Linked DNA regions of Arabidopsis thaliana. The protein of the gene in region 2 interacts with the protein of the main gene of each other region in a biochemical or structural test. Each region holds a gene or a part of one and is shown on either strand. Other genes may lie near its edges.

The links.
Region 1: the proteins of SNAP33 (region 2) and SYP111 form a complex in vitro, tested with the Arabidopsis thaliana proteins (one study listed by BioGRID).

The regions. Positions count from the first base shown.
Region 1 is NC_003070.9:2,707,994-2,715,369, forward strand, and holds SYP111 (syntaxin of plants 111), read right to left. Parts: upstream 3,008-7,376; 5' UTR 2,817-3,007; intron 2,727-2,816; 5' UTR 2,718-2,726; coding exon 1,785-2,717; 3' UTR 1,532-1,784; downstream 1-1,531. Other genes in the region: NPQ1 (non-photochemical quenching 1), read left to right, coding at 194-290, 395-789, 881-1,394; ACHT4 (atypical CYS HIS rich thioredoxin 4), read left to right, coding at 5,066-5,302, 5,554-5,730, 5,816-5,980, 6,071-6,319; AT1G08580 (uncharacterized protein), read right to left, coding at 7,303-7,364. UniProt on the Arabidopsis thaliana protein: Involved in cytokinesis. Acts as a cell plate-specific syntaxin, required for the fusion of vesicles at the plane of cell division.
Region 2 is NC_003076.8:24,620,021-24,628,489, reverse strand, and holds SNAP33 (soluble N-ethylmaleimide-sensitive factor adaptor protein 33), read right to left. Parts: upstream 5,243-8,469; 5' UTR 4,967-5,242; exon of another isoform or gene 4,747-4,966; intron 4,543-4,746; 5' UTR 4,464-4,542; coding exon 3,984-4,463; intron 3,851-3,983; coding exon 3,757-3,850; intron 3,665-3,756; coding exon 3,534-3,664; exon of another isoform or gene 3,322-3,533; coding exon 3,124-3,321; 3' UTR 2,859-3,123; downstream 1-2,858. Other genes in the region: ANK6 (Ankyrin repeat family protein), read right to left, coding at 1-236; AT5G61220 (LYR family of Fe/S cluster biogenesis protein), read left to right, coding at 2,170-2,433; AT5G61200 (myosin heavy chain-like protein), read right to left, coding at 6,409-6,465, 6,560-6,727, 6,829-7,493, 7,573-7,675, 7,762-7,821, 7,918-8,034. UniProt on the Arabidopsis thaliana protein: t-SNARE involved in diverse vesicle trafficking and membrane fusion processes, including cell plate formation. May function in the secretory pathway.

The DNA.
Region 1 (7,376 bases), on a different chromosome or scaffold from region 2:
TGTGATGCTATAAGTGTTTTGAATTGTATAGCTCCATACTCTTCAATTGTTGAGAATGTTAAAGCTAGATGAAGTTACTGTGTCTGTCTATGATAGAGCTGAAATCAGTTGATGATATCTTTCTGATTTTTTTGCCGTCAATTTATATATTTCCCTCCTTGTCTGACCATATGGAAGCCCAATTATCTGTTAGGATAGAACTCGCAAAGTGCATTGCCAACCCTGCCTGTGCAGCCAATGTCGCGTGCCTTCAGACCTGCAATAACCGTCCAGATGAAACCGAGTGCCAGGTTATAATTTATTTTGATATATCATTTTATGAGGCAGAGATATTGCTTGCTTATGAAAGAAGACCAATGATTTTGTTTATAATTATGTGCTTATATTATATCAGATTAAATGTGGGGATCTGTTTGAGAACAGTGTTGTTGATGAGTTCAACGAGTGTGCTGTGTCGAGAAAAAAGTGTGTTCCTAGAAAATCTGATCTCGGAGAATTTCCTGCCCCAGACCCTTCTGTTCTTGTACAGAACTTCAACATCTCGGACTTTAACGGGAAGTGGTACATTACAAGTGGCTTGAATCCAACCTTTGATGCCTTCGACTGCCAGCTGCATGAGTTCCACACAGAAGGTGACAACAAGCTTGTTGGAAACATCTCTTGGAGAATAAAGACCCTAGACAGTGGATTCTTTACTAGGTCAGCCGTACAAAAATTCGTGCAAGATCCTAACCAACCTGGTGTTCTCTACAATCATGACAACGAGTACCTTCACTATCAAGATGACTGGTAATAACATCTTGTATCCACCCACGAGGGAGAGTCTTGATAGTGCTGCTATTCTTCTTTGGCCTAACAAGCTTTCATATGATTTTTGCAGGTATATCCTGTCATCAAAGATAGAGAATAAACCTGAAGACTATATATTTGTATACTACCGTGGGCGAAACGATGCTTGGGATGGATATGGTGGTGCAGTTGTATACACGAGAAGTTCTGTATTACCCAATAGCATTATACCAGAACTCGAAAAAGCAGCAAAAAGCATAGGCAGAGACTTCAGCACATTCATTAGAACGGATAACACATGTGGTCCTGAACCTGCGCTCGTGGAGAGAATTGAGAAGACAGTGGAAGAAGGTGAAAGGATAATCGTAAAAGAGGTTGAAGAGATAGAAGAAGAGGTAGAGAAGGAAGTGGAGAAGGTCGGTAGGACTGAGATGACCTTGTTCCAGAGATTGGCTGAAGGATTTAATGAACTGAAGCAAGACGAGGAGAATTTCGTGAGAGAGTTAAGTAAAGAAGAGATGGAGTTTTTGGATGAGATCAAAATGGAAGCAAGTGAGGTTGAAAAATTGTTTGGGAAAGCTTTGCCAATCAGGAAGGTCAGGTAGAAACAAGAACCACCATTGTTGTACAAACTATATTATACATACTGTGTTCGGTTCATATAAAGTAATATTTTTGTACACAGTCATCATCATTCCATAACAATTGGATACAGAAAACACAAGGATTAAACATCCTTTGAGCGAAACAAACAACGATTGGTAAACATAGTACCTCAAGAAGAGCTGAAAGTGTTAACAATGGGGATGACAACATTTAGAATGATCAAGAGGATTAAGTCAACTGGGTATCTTTGTAAACATTCACCATTTCATTGAAATTGGATACAAGACACGAAAGGATTAAGACATCCTTGAAGAACACAAAAGGATTAAGACATCCATTGGTACAAAGAAGAGCGAAACAAAACAAAAGGAGTGAACATAGCCAGTATCTCAAGAAGAGCTGAAACTGGTAATGATGGGGATGACAACAATGAGAATGATCAAAAGCAGCACAATGATACCAATGCACATCCATTTTCTGCTGTTTCTCTGATGACTCTTTGCAGTCTTCAGCTCATTAGCTCCATCAGCCACGTAATGGCTCGCATTAATCACATGATGCTCGATCTCGTCCATCTGTTCACCTTGCGATTCAACCATCACAGCCATATCAAGAAACACTTGGTGAAGCTCCAACAGACTCTTCTCAATCTCCTTTGCTGCATCATACCTGTCTTGAATCTCAACCACAGTTTCCAAGACCTTTCCTTTACCATGTTCCTGAATTGCTCGCGTGAGAAACTCTTCACCTCCAGCGTTATCAGTGATGATCTTCTCAATCATCTCATCATTAGCATGTTCTCCAGTGACAGTGAAGTACCTTCTCTCAACAGTCTCCTTGTACTCACTCATCATCTTTTGCCTCAGCCCCTGAAACTCCATCATCACTTCCTTAAGTTTCTTCCTCAGCCCATTAGTCACAGCGGTTCTGCTCCTATAAACCGGAGTCCCAGAGAGCCTTTTAATCTCCTTGTTGGCTTTATCCATCTCTTCCAGCTTCGACTTAATCGATTTCGCCTTCCTCAAACCAGACACAATCTCGTTAGAGATCTTGTTACGAAGAGACTTCACAGACTCTGCCTTGTGAACACCTTTACTCTCTTCATGGTACTGTTCGATCCGAGCCAGCGTCTCACTAATCAAACCCATCTCTGCTTTCACATACTCTGCTTCTTCTAAGAAAGATGACAGATTCTCATCCATCTTGTCTGCTTTCGTAGAAGCCATCTCAAGATCAAAGTCAGGTCCTGCTTCCATATCCTTCATCGCTGCTTTTTTCAAGTCAACGTAACTCATAAACGATTTCGTCATCAAGTCGTTCATCTTTTTCACCTGAAAGTCAACAATTTTACAAGAATCAGAGAGAATCGCAGTGATTGTAACAGAATCAAACAAGAGAAAATCAAAGAAAATACAACATACTCTTCTGATTAGTGTGTTCTTCTAGATCCACAAAGTTTCTGCCCAGAAAGTGAGAGAGTAGTGTGAAGTAAAGCTTACTATAGAATTTGATTAGCGATTTGTGAGATGAGAGAAAGCTTTCTTTCTAATATAAGAAAAAGGAGAAATTAGCCGTTACTGTGATTTCTTCGCCCCAACGGCTATATTTTGGCGATGTATCCGTTGTCGTCCATTTGTCTATCTGTTTCTGTTTCTTCAAATCTATTTTTAAATTCATGTGAATTTCTTTCGAAACTTTAAAATAATATAGGGACTAAATTGTAATTAGATGTATGTTTTAGTGCCGACGTGTGTGATTGAGACAGCTTTAAAGATATCGAAACTGAGAAGAAAATATAGGGACTAAATTGTAATTATGTGTATGACATCGCTTTTGTCGACAAATCATCATTGGTGACGATTTACGAAAGCAAAGAAGAGGTGTTCTTAGCTGCACATTTGTCACCATTTATACAAAAATTGTGGTTCTTGTGTTTTGTTTTTTATGTTGGAAAACTTATGGTATAGTTTCTTTTGTTACGATACACCTTAGTTGAACCATTCAAATTATTAGGATATTTTCAAATATATAATATTTTAATTCTAATTTCGTATGTAAACGACTCTCCAATAAAACATCTCCACTAGCTTGTTGGTCTCTAAACTTGAAATCAGTTTTTATTTTTCTTGTAATATTTTCAAAATTGTTTCAATATCGTAGACAAATTTTAAATAAAATGTACATCATATCTCTATAAACTTAATAATACCCAAAATTTTGACTAATCACATTAAATTCCTTATGATATTCGAATAAAAAAATAATTTAATAATATTTATTGTAGTCGCAATTCAATATTTATTCTGTAATGCTTGAAAAATGTTTTTAAAAACTGTGTCACTACATTACTATAACGTTAGTATGTACTAAATTTTGTAACGTTTCATGGTTATAAAATAGTATTAGTTTACCGACAAAAATATATAGATTACGTAACGCTTGTTTTACATTAAAACAAATTTGTTAGGATTGTTTTGTCTATTCTACATTCGTCACATTTGTTTTGTTTAAACTTTTTGTTTTCTAATTAAAAAATTATTCTGTTTTTGTAATTAAATATAGTAAATTTGTTTGCCGCCCAAAAAAATATTACATAACGCTTGTTTTACATTAAAATAAAGTTGCTTCGATTGTTTTGGCTGTTCAACTCTAGTCACATTTGTTACGTTTGTTCTACTTATTGTCGTGAATCGATCGAAAACTTGTGCAATGTGGAATTGAGGGGGTTAGATGTAAACCAAAAAACTAAAAAGGGCAATCTCCAATTATTTTGTTAAAGAGGTGGCAATTGCAAATCTCCAATAATATAAAGTTCATAAAAAAGGTTAAAGGAGAGAGTTGTGGTGGAGAGAGTGAGACCCACGTGGGTGATGTGTTGGCAAACTATCTTCCTTAAAATCCAAATCCATTTATCCATCACTACTTTTTTTTCTTTTGTTTGGTAGTAAAATCCTTCACTAGTTGATTGCAGATGACTAATAAAGTAATAATCTTTCATTTTGGTGGTTCATCGCCTAATTTGTTGTTTACTTGATTGATAAATGTTTGAGGATGAAACTGTATCATTTATTTTTCTCAAAATTGTTTGGTTCATGACCTATATAATCCATTTGTTTAATATTAATATAGGTAAATTTAAAATTCGTTACTTAAATTGGCTAAACATACTCTTCAAAATAATATATATCCACTTAACATAGTTAAAACTCTGTATTCAGATAAAAGCATGGTAAAAAACCAAACATATCCATTTAAATGTATTCAAAGTCATGAGAAAATTTCCTATACTTGTTCCTTTATATCTGCGAGAAGTCATGAACCTTATCCATTTATTAGTTTTCTTCTGACCGACTAAACCTGATAATCACTAATCCACCGTTAGATCTTAAAATTCCAAATCCAAAATGGACGGTCAAGATCACTTAACGAAAAAGAAAACAGTTTCCTGTCCAGAAATGTCTAACCTTGAGGCCTTTTTCTCTTTCCTTTAAACTTTTTTTTTTCGATTATAAATTTTCTCGTGAAGCTAATTTTTCCTGAGAAAGAAAGCGAAACTTCGCTGGCGACTAAAGATTGCTGAGAAGACACGTCGTCTCTGTGAGAACTTTTTCTTTTTCTTCTGGTATATTCTGGAGACAGATATTGTTTTTTCTTCTGATTAGAGAATAATATGACGGAAGTGATTAGCAAAACGAGTTTGTTCTTAGGAGCTTGTGGTAATCATCACCGTGTTGATGATTTCTCTTTCTCTCCGGTGAGTTTTGGTGGGTTTGGTTTGAAAAAGAGTTTCTCTTGTCTGAAGCTTAAGAGTCAGAAGCCTCTTAGAAGTGTATTTTACGGAAAACAGATCGTTTTCGGAGATTCTCAAGACGAGAGCTTCAGAAGATCATCAGCTATCACAGCTCAGGTAGACTTTAATGTTTTGTGTTTTCGTTTTTGTTTATCTGAAATATTATAATCCATTACATGCGAGATCTAATTAGAAAGATCCTGAGAGCTAATTGTTGAAAGAATAGTTTTTTAGGGTTTTGCTTTAATTTTGTTGTGAATTATTGGCTTGAAGAGTAGATTTTGGTTTAGGGTTCATGTGTTTTCAATTTGATGTGTTGGTTTTATGGATCTGTGAAAATATGATATCTGACATGTGTAAATTTGCAGACAACTTTGAGGATTGGGACAGCTCAGAAGTGGTGGGAGAAAGGTCTGAAAGATAACATGAGAGAGATCTCTTCAGCTCAAGAGCTCGTTGATTCTCTTACTAACGCTGGTGATAAGCTTGTTGTTGTTGATTTCTTCTCACCTGGCTGTGGTGGCTGCAAGGCTCTCCATCCTAAGGTATCAATCCACTTCTTGGATTGTTTGGTACAGTATTGATGAAATGAACAAGTTTTCTAACAATGATGGTTTATGATTGTTGCAGATATGTCAGTTTGCAGAGATGAACCCGGATGTGCAGTTTCTTCAGGTGAATTACGAGGAGCATAAGTCCATGTGTTATAGTCTTGGTGTCCATGTTCTCCCTTTTTTCCGATTCTACCGTGGCTCTCAGGGTCGTGTTTGCAGCTTTAGCTGTACCAATGCCACGGTTCGTTCTCATTCTTATAATCCATGAGACAATCAATGAAAAAACCATCTTAGGTTCGATTTTGATCTTGATTTGTTTTATCTGTTTCAGATCAAGAAATTCAGAGATGCCTTGGCAAAGCATGGTCCAGATAGGTGCAGCCTCGGACCGACCAAAGGCCTTGAAGAGAAAGAGCTTGTGGCACTTGCAGCCAACAAAGAACTCAACTTTACTTACACACCAAAGCCTGTACCAGTTGAGAAAGAAGCAGCCACTCCTGATTCAAACCCAAGTCTCCCTGTTCCTCTTCCTTCGATGAGCTCCAATGACGAAAAAACATTGGTCTCCGCAGGGAGATGAGACTGAATAAACATTTCCCTGTATAGTTTGCGTGATAGTAGTAGTAGCAGCAGCTGGATATATTGCAGTACCTAAAGATGTCAGTTCTCGGAGCAGCCAGCCGGTTTAGTGGGGTTTAGTTTTTTTTCGGGTCCCCTGAGCAAAATCGGTTCTTGGCCTCTGGGTTTACCTAGAGCAAAACCAGTTCCGATGGTTACTTGAGTTTTGCTCAGTTCTTATGGGATTGGAGTGGAAGGTCGTGCGCTCGGCAGCATGGAAGCTTTCTCCTTTCAATCAGCTTCAGTAGAGTTTTGGTTTCTTTGTTTGTTTTTTATTTGCTTTAAGAATTTAATGTAAATAAAAATCCAATGAGGATTATCATACAATGTCATGAAGGATCTATGAATTAGTATCTAATGTTAGTATATATTATGGTTTTTCCTAAGTTGGTACTTTCTCTGTTTGAAGTTTGATTATCATACATGTATTTGTTATGGTCCTCTCTTCAACATCTTTAGAATAAAACATATAAGATCTGCAAGGGCTTCAGATTTCTGTAGTGTGGTTAGTCTCTTGGGACATTACGTTACCATAGGACTAACGTCGACTATATTAACGTCACCTAGAAAAAGCTCTAGGATTAATGGTACTTTTTTAGTTTGGATTAGTGGTACTTTAACTTGGTTAATTTTGCTGTTTCAGTGAGAGAAAGGAAAATTGAGTTGGGTTTTTATCAAATTGCTCCATATTCTAACTCTCCGTCAAAGGCACCACATACCAGAAAGAATGAATACAAAATATGATATTTTGATAAGACAAAAATTAGATTGAGAAATTAAAGGATTCGGAAAACTTAAATAAAATCATATCAAACCCTCCATTCCTCTGCTTCGCATCCTCCGGATGCAAAAACACACGTTTCACATTTTTGAAAGAATCTAACCAGACATTGAGAAACCTCTATCATCCGTTAGAAGAAATGGGTTTACAGGTATACACGACACTCATTCTAGCATACAATCAGCAGATTTTTCACCACTGGCTTTCTGGTTTTTCTTCTTTTTGCCTGGTACATGTA
Region 2 (8,469 bases):
ATGTGACCTCCCTCTGCTGCAAGGTGAAGTGCACTCACTCCTTTTGATTTGGGTCCCCATGCTAGAGCATTCACATCCATTCCTTGGTCGAGAAGCTGCTTGACAGATTTCAGATCGCCTTTTCTGGCTTTGATATGGAGCGGATTCCAGCCTCTGTCATCGACATTTGATCTGGGAGATCGGCGTCTGAATGAGTTACGCCGGAGGGAGAATGCAGCCGACGGTTCTTGGAGCATTTTGGGTCTGAGCTTCAGCTAAACAAGAACTAGCTTCGAAACTAGGATCCGGATCTGTGTAGGACTACGAGACTCGGGTAGATACTAACCAAACAGGGGTTTCTTATTCTATGCTTTTAGTGTAAATCTCTCAGCCAAGAATGTCTAAAGAAGATACTACTTGATTTGCAACACTATCCAGACTAGACAGCAAAGGAAGCAGACTAATGTAATTAAGTTGAAAGAGAGCAACTCAATTAACGGGAGGCAAAGGAGTGATTGGCGATGCAGTAAGGGAAAGAAGGATTCAAACCAGGGCCGAAGACACTAAGCTTTTGAAGGATCACAGATAAAGCCATAGACAGGGAAGAGAAAATGAGCATCAGTTTGTAAGAAATATAACCCTAATGATTGTGAAGAATCCTAACGGAGCACGACCACATCGAGACTGAGAAACCCCCAAATTTCAGCCTTAGAGAACACTGACCTTACCAAACCTATCAACAAAAGATGGAGAAGAAAACCAAATTAGTGAAAACCAGATGAACACAACAAAAATGCTATAAATTTCTCTGTAATATAAATAACACAACAATCCAGCTCGTGTAGAGTTTCAAAAGTTCATTCAGAATCCAATTACGACACTTGTAGTCTCTAATATTGGCAAATCTACAAACAATACAATAGAATCAGAAAAAATACCCTCACAGAGACAAAATCAATCGAATCAAGGGGGAACTAACGAGTACAAATTTTAATCATCGATCACCAATCAAGTCAGCTACAAATTACACATGAATCAGAACAAATCACAGAAAAACATTGACGAAATAAGAATCCAACGATGAATCCGAAACGAAAAAGAGAAAAATCAATCTCGACACGCAAGGATTTTCACACATACTTATGAACACAAGGAATCGAAAAGTTTGAGAGGCTCGTACCGTAACCCAGCGAGGAGATAGAGATAGAGAAATGGTGAAACCAAGCTCAGAGATAAAAATTTACTTCTCGCCAGAGAGATCGGAGTTTTTTCGCAGTAGGGTTTTCTCGTCGAGATAAGAGAGAATCGAATTCGTGTAGAGAAGGAAGAAGGCGTGACAGAGAATGATAAATATCGGTTTTGTTTACTATTTCTTGTCGAATATGCCAGCTCATACACCTTCATTAAAAAAGGCTGGCTTATCACATATTGGCCCAATTTAACAGGCCTTTGTGTCTAGCCCATTCTAAAACCGGTTCTTTTCTTACTCAATCTAAAATTGATCCGGTTCCCAAATCAGTTTTCCCGGTTTAGTTTTGGGTAAACCTAAAAGTTTATTTATTCCCCCGAACGACCCAGCTTGCTGCTATCAAAACCTTCGAACGGAGAACTTCAACGGCGAGCTCGGGAAATTAATACTCTCCGACGATTTGATTCGGTATGTATATGTATCTGGAGCTCGTTATCGTCAAATTCTATGCTTATCGGATCCTCTCATGATTCAGATGTATTGTCTCTTTTGGCTGTGACTGCAATTTCATCCATTTTACTGAAGTTTAGGATTACTAAGTGCGTTTATGGCCTTTTAAGGTTTCTTCTTGATTGTTTTAAGCGTTTGCGATTAGTTAATATTGGTTCTTTTGCGTATTTTCATGAACTCTAGTGCCTAGTTTCTAATGTTGCAGCAACTGGTTCTCATACCTTATATACACTACTCAAATCAATACTTATCTATATACTAATGTTACTGAATCTAGGTTCTTTTGCTCTATAAATGATGTACTGGTCCTTAATACTTTTCACTTATCTATATAACTTCTTGTTACATGTCGAAGTGTATAGCTTTATCCCTTGATCATCTTGACTACTTCTCTTCCTTTTCGGCATTGCTAATCTCAGCTTCTTTGTGTTCTTATACTGATTGCAGTTAACCAGGCTTTGTATAATTAAGGGTTAGTTTCCAATCTTGCAATGGTGTCTAGTAGTGAAGTTCTTAGCCTATGTCGTGCCTTGCTTCGAGCGGGACGTCAATTCCCTGATTACAACATTAGGGAGTACAGTAAGCGAAGGACCTTGGATGGCTTCCGCATGAACAAGAATCTCACTGACCCATCGAAGGTGACTGAGGCTTATGCTGAAGCTAAAAAACAGCTTTTTGTTGCTGAGAGAGTGCTCAAGGTTTACTTGGCATATCCTCCCAAGACCAAGAACATCATGGAAGTCAAGCTTCAGTAGATGTATGTTTGTCATTACAATATCCTCCAAAGCTATTTGTTTTTAATGGTCATGTTGGAGCCACTTTATATTCATTGATTGTCGAGTTTGTGGCTTGAGAATATGATTCGGGAACAAGTGGTGTTTGTATGAGATTATTATTTCCTCTATTCATAGTTCTTTCCAACTATGTCAGATTGCTTTGTCTAGTTCTCATTAGTAGTCTTTGTGTTTTATGGCTTCAGACATTATACAAGTGAAGAAGAGGACATTGTGGAATATATCCCTTGGATTGTAGCTGAGGAAGACTAAAGGGAATGAAGAGTTCCTGGTTTTTTTGTTCTTTTGAATAATCTCACATGATTGTGCAGTTGTTGCATAACATATGTTCCAACTTGTCTGGAGTTTCTGTATTCTTATGTCGTATTCTAGCACTGATATTTTTAGGTTATAAATCTGAGATTAAAACTCATAATTTCATCTATTATCAGAATTTCTTGAGAAAGCTTTATGATACAGATAAAAACGATACCAAAGTTGCTTCTGTTTGATCAATAAGTTTTTTGGTTTTTTGTCACAAGATCAAATACAAACACAGATAGCAATAATGTATTTAACATGATAAGAATCTTTCCAGTTTTAAAGAACAACTTCATAGAGAATAAAACAAACGAGGAATGAGTGTAATGAACATATAAACCCTCTGTTCATCTACTTTCCAAGCAAACGGCGACCACGTTGGTTTGATTGTTGCACTCTGAAGTTGAGTTCGTCAACATCATCATGAAGATGGTCAAGTCCTTTGTTCTGCTTCTCGATTTCGCTTCCCATGTCAACAGCCATGTTCTTTAGCTCGCCGAGTATATCACTCAAGTCTGAAAGCCCATCGTCTTGCTTAGCTTTTTCCATCTGTAATAAACCAGTATTAAGTTTAGTGGCGTCCAAAACACATGTTTTTCACTCAGATATATATGCTCATCATTGATGAGTCATCAATGTCTCAAATTGTTAGCATTACAGGACCACAGATAAAGAGTTCATGCATCACTCATATCAGATGCAGGAGTATAGTAATGTTCTTATGAAAGGAAAAATTGAAGAGAGGGAAGAGAAGTCCAAACCTCCACTCTCTGATAAGCATCAGCTGATTCGGGGAGTGGTTCTCGGGTTCTTGATTGTCCTCTGGGTGCTGAGTTCAGTCCCAGTTTTTCCCTTTTCTCTAAGTGGTTAACTCTTCTCGTTGGTGAGTCATCTAAGCAAAAACACAAAATAAAGGATTCAGCAATTAGGTGAAAGTAAAATAGCTGCGAGAAGAATTGAGATATCAATGACCAAGAAGCAAACCTCTGGTTACGACGGGACCATTTATAGGACGAGTCTTCTTTGGTTTCCAAGTCTTTGAAAACATGCCTCCAAGGCTTCCAAGAAGTTTCTCACCCTGAAAACCAAAAATCCAACTAGTTTCAGCATCAAATGTCTACCGTCTTCTTATCTCACACCAACTAATGTCCTCAGAAAAAGATTGAATGTTTCCATTTTATAATCAAGAACCAGAAGGAAGAAAAACTCACACGACTGAGATCATGGTCGATTTCAACGGCTTTATGGTGCGTCCTAGTGATTTGCTCGCCCTGATCGTGTAACATGACCAAAGTTCTGGTAGCATCAGACCTTATATCTTCTGCTACCTTCAAACAACCTTGTACAGATTTCGTAGTCTCTTCAGCCTTGTACACAGCATAACCTTCAAGCTCCTGAACCGACTGGTTTTCAATACCACCAGAATCACGGAAATTGTTCTTGTACTGGTATTTGGAGTTCGAAAACAATGACTGTTTGGATGAACTACTATCTCCTTTCTGAACTCTCTCACCACCAAAAGGGTTTGTCATATCAGCCAAAGAGGGTTCAGAGGTAGTCCTCTTAGAAGGGTTAAGGGTATGTTTGTTGTCAGATTCATCATCTGAATCGAAAGGATTTGGCTTGGAAGACTTGAGGTCGACTGAGTTATGCTTGGGAAGATTTGCCGGTGATTTCCTTAAACCAAACATTGTCTCTCAGGATAATATCACAAAGCTTGTTGCTTCAAACAAAAGGAACACTTGGATTGGTTACTACTAATAAACCTTCCTGCAGAAACCAAAACAGTAATCAGGATTGATGCTTTGATTCTAACTTGTAAGCTAAGAGAAAAGTTGATCAAATCAAAGGTATAGATAAAGTAAAGCAACAAGTCAAAAACGTAGCATCGAATGATTTCACTTCTAAGAACAATTTAAACGATAACATAAGACGAGACCAAAAAGTATAAGTTTTAGTTAATCAATTTTAAACCTAATTTTGGGCATAATTGAGTATATGTAGCGGCTAAAGAACCCAAGACTATGAAAACCACACACAAAATTCGCTTAATTATTTCGATAATTCTCTCTGGAACGAAACAATCGCAGAAGAGGAACGGAACAAATCGAAAGCCCAGGATCTAGCAGACGGAAATTGAGAAGAAAGGAACTGAGAATTTTGAAGCAAAAGATAGAGAGCAGATTGTGGTTACCTGGATGAGCGAAGTGGAGTCCGTGAAGAAGAAGATGGAGAAGATGAAGATTAGGTTCTTAATGAATAGAATAGAAGAGGAAGGAGGACCAAATCAATGCGAAGAAGAAGAAGAAAGGAAGAAAGGATCAAAAAGGGAAAAGATTTAACGCGGAGACGACTCAGAACGACCCAAGAATTTGAGAGTACAACAAGGAGGTCTTTGGGTATGTGTTGACGAAAATTTATCAAGGAGATTAAAAAAAAAACAAATTGTAGAAAGGAACGTGGATCAATTAATAAATAAAACAAAATCATTTAATTCAAATCTAAAACGGTCATATATATAATTCTTTTTTTTTCTAGATCAAACTTCTAAAAAAGTAAAAAGTAACTACTTTCTAACGAAAATAGAGCAATTTAGATCTTTTTAATTGTATATAGGACGTAATTGTGGATATAATAAACGTAGTTGGATTTTTTCTTACAGAGAAAGAGTCATTTTCTTATATTTTTCTAATTTCTGCTTCTTTTTTTGTACTGATGGTTTAGTTGATAAATTGTATGAGCCCAAAAAGAATGGGTAAGTTGTCAATTTTGTCATCCAAAAAGAATGGTCTTTGTTGAATTTGTCAAAGAGAACATATTTTCGCCCAAAACCAAAAACTACTTGAAGATAGAAAATTGTTTGACAATATCTATGGATATGATCATGCCTAATTTATCTCATTAATTTTTATTTGTTACCGGTTACATTGATAACGACTACAACAAAATCTTGATGTCCTAGTAGATACGATATTTCAACATATCATTTTGGTGAAGAACAAGTTGGAATATGTTTTTGCTTAAAGTCAAGTTGGATTAGGTTAGACAACAAATCTACAAGTGTCTTGATTAACAATAAAGACAACAGGTTCTTTTCCTTGACCCATTCATTTATCCCTTTGCATCAACAACAAGGTTACTAGACTCTGCACATACATGATGATACAACAACGCTTCCAGATTTCTTTATTTTCACAAGAAAAAGAAGAACAATAAAAGAGAGAAAAACGGGCCATCAAATAAACTCAGCCTTATTGACCTAGGCTCATTACAGGCCTATCAAATAGAGTCAAATAGTAAGAATCTTCTTGGTCAACGACCACAGCTTTCAACATTCTCTAGAGACTCATGTCAATTTCTCAAGATCTCTACATGTTGCTGAAGGCGTAATTAAACACTTAGAAGCCACATGAAGAAGCAGTTTTTTTTTTTGGTAGGCACATGAAGAAGCAGTTTCACTCTTGTAAAACTCAATTTCCATATATAAACATAATCACAGGGATGAAATCTATATTCCAATTTCCAATCAAATTGGATTATGTACACTTTAAATACATAAGAATTCAAACCTTATAGCTTAAAGGCTTATTTGAGGCATTAACTGTGATTTCAAGTTTAACTCGAACCTTAGCTGGTTTATACAGCAGGAAGAGGAACTAAGCAAGTTGAGGACTTGTTCTTCTCTCTCTTGATCTTAACAAGAAAATGGATATTTGTTAGGTTCCTTCAACAATATCTGATGGCTCAAAAAAAATAAAAAAATTGGAAGATATAAAGAAGCAAGTACCTGTGCTTCTAGATTGGCTATTCTTTGTAATGATGCTTGTTCGATGCATGCACGCCGCTTGCATTCTTCCTCCAATAAACATGTCATTTCATATCTTAATTCAGCCATTTCTTGTGTTAAGTCCTCTGCTTCTTCCTTGGCCTTTAGTTTCTCTTCTTTCAACTCATCCTTAGGCATAACAAAATAATGGTTTAACTAGTTAGAATATGTGTGACGCTGCAAAAAGGCACCAAATTTTTGATTCTACTGTTTTGTTTGGTAACTAATACCTTGAGCTGCTTTACAAGATCTTTGTATTGAAGTATCTGTCTTGCCATATCTTCCATTTTGTCTCTCAGTTTCCCATCCTGGAAAACCTCTAATTTCTTGATGATGTCATGGAAACAATCTGGATTTACAGGCGCTTCACTTTCACTTTCCAACCTTCCTCTAAAGCTTTGACGTAAGTCTTTGATATTCCTTTCAGAGGCTACACATCTCTCCATCAGCTCCTTGTTTTGCTTCTCTAAACACTCAGCATTCTCTTCTGCCTCTCGAGAGTTCAACCGTAGCTCCTTGACTATTTCTCTTAACTTATCGTTTTCTTGGATGCTTTCACCTTGAAATTTCTGAGCATCAAAGAGCGCCTGCTCCAACGCTACTATATCAAGTTTTATGCTTTCTATCTCACACTGAGACTCCAATGTTAAGGATGAGACCGACTCCTCCAGCTTCTCAACAGAAAACAAAGAAAACTGTAGCTCAGTTTCTGTGCTCTCCAGTTCTTGCAACAACAATAGCTGCTCAGATTTCGACGAACACAACTCCTCCCTCAAATAGTTAACTTCTTCTTCCAATTTCCCTGATTTAGTTACTCTGACTTCAAGATCGAGTACATGTTCACTCAGGTCGTTCATTTCCTGGCTTCTGAAGTTTACTTGATCCCGCAAATAATCTGAAAGACAAAGAAAGTGTTTTTTAGCTCATATAAAATATATGCCTAGATTTCAGTTTCATGAGAATCTCTCCATTACCAATCTCCTGGTAGCAATTCAACAATTCTTTCTCCAACATCTGAATTCTTCTCTTATCTTCTAAACGAGACTCTGACAACGAATTCGCATTCAGTTCCAACCTCTAGGGTAAAAAAAAAAAAGACAACAAATCTCAGAAAAAGTTTGAACAATCAATTCACTAGTCTAAAACACACAAGAGGAACATACTCTGACAAGTTCAACACTCTGTGACTGAGATTCTCTAAGCATCTCCTTTTCTCTCCGTAGCTACAATTACAATGAAAACATGAGATCATAAAGCCAAAAATATGAACTTCATCAATCTCTGAGACAAAGGATATAGAGAAAGAAAAACAGATTCACCTCCATACATCTTGAACCAATCTGTAAAAGTTCGTCAGCATCAAACGAGTTGTCAACATCGCTTCTTGAACTACTTCCCGAGCTATCTCGCGAGCTACTTCCCCAATTACTCGACATTAAAAAAGACTAACAAATTTACACACAAGAGCTGAAAACTGGACCAAGAATACGAGTCATTAGCGACCAGAGACTATAAGAAAAAGAAAGAAAAACACATTCCGACGAACACAAGCATAGTCGTAGGAAAGCTTTACCTGGCCGGTGAAGAGTAATATTCCGACGACAATACTTGAACTGAATTTTCCAGTTTCCTTTTTATCTGCTTTAATTTAAACAAGAGAAGGAAGATCCGGATGGGTCGGGCCGGGTCGGATAAGTAATCAGGGTGGCCCAGTTGAGCTGTAGTCGTAAAGCAAATAATGCAATTTTTGATGATTACATTACAGACTAAGCCGAAAATTCTGTTGGAAAAACCGGTCGTTATTTCCCAATTTATTGAGAGAACCTATATACTACAATGCCTAAATTCTATTGTTCTTGAATCTTTTTTAA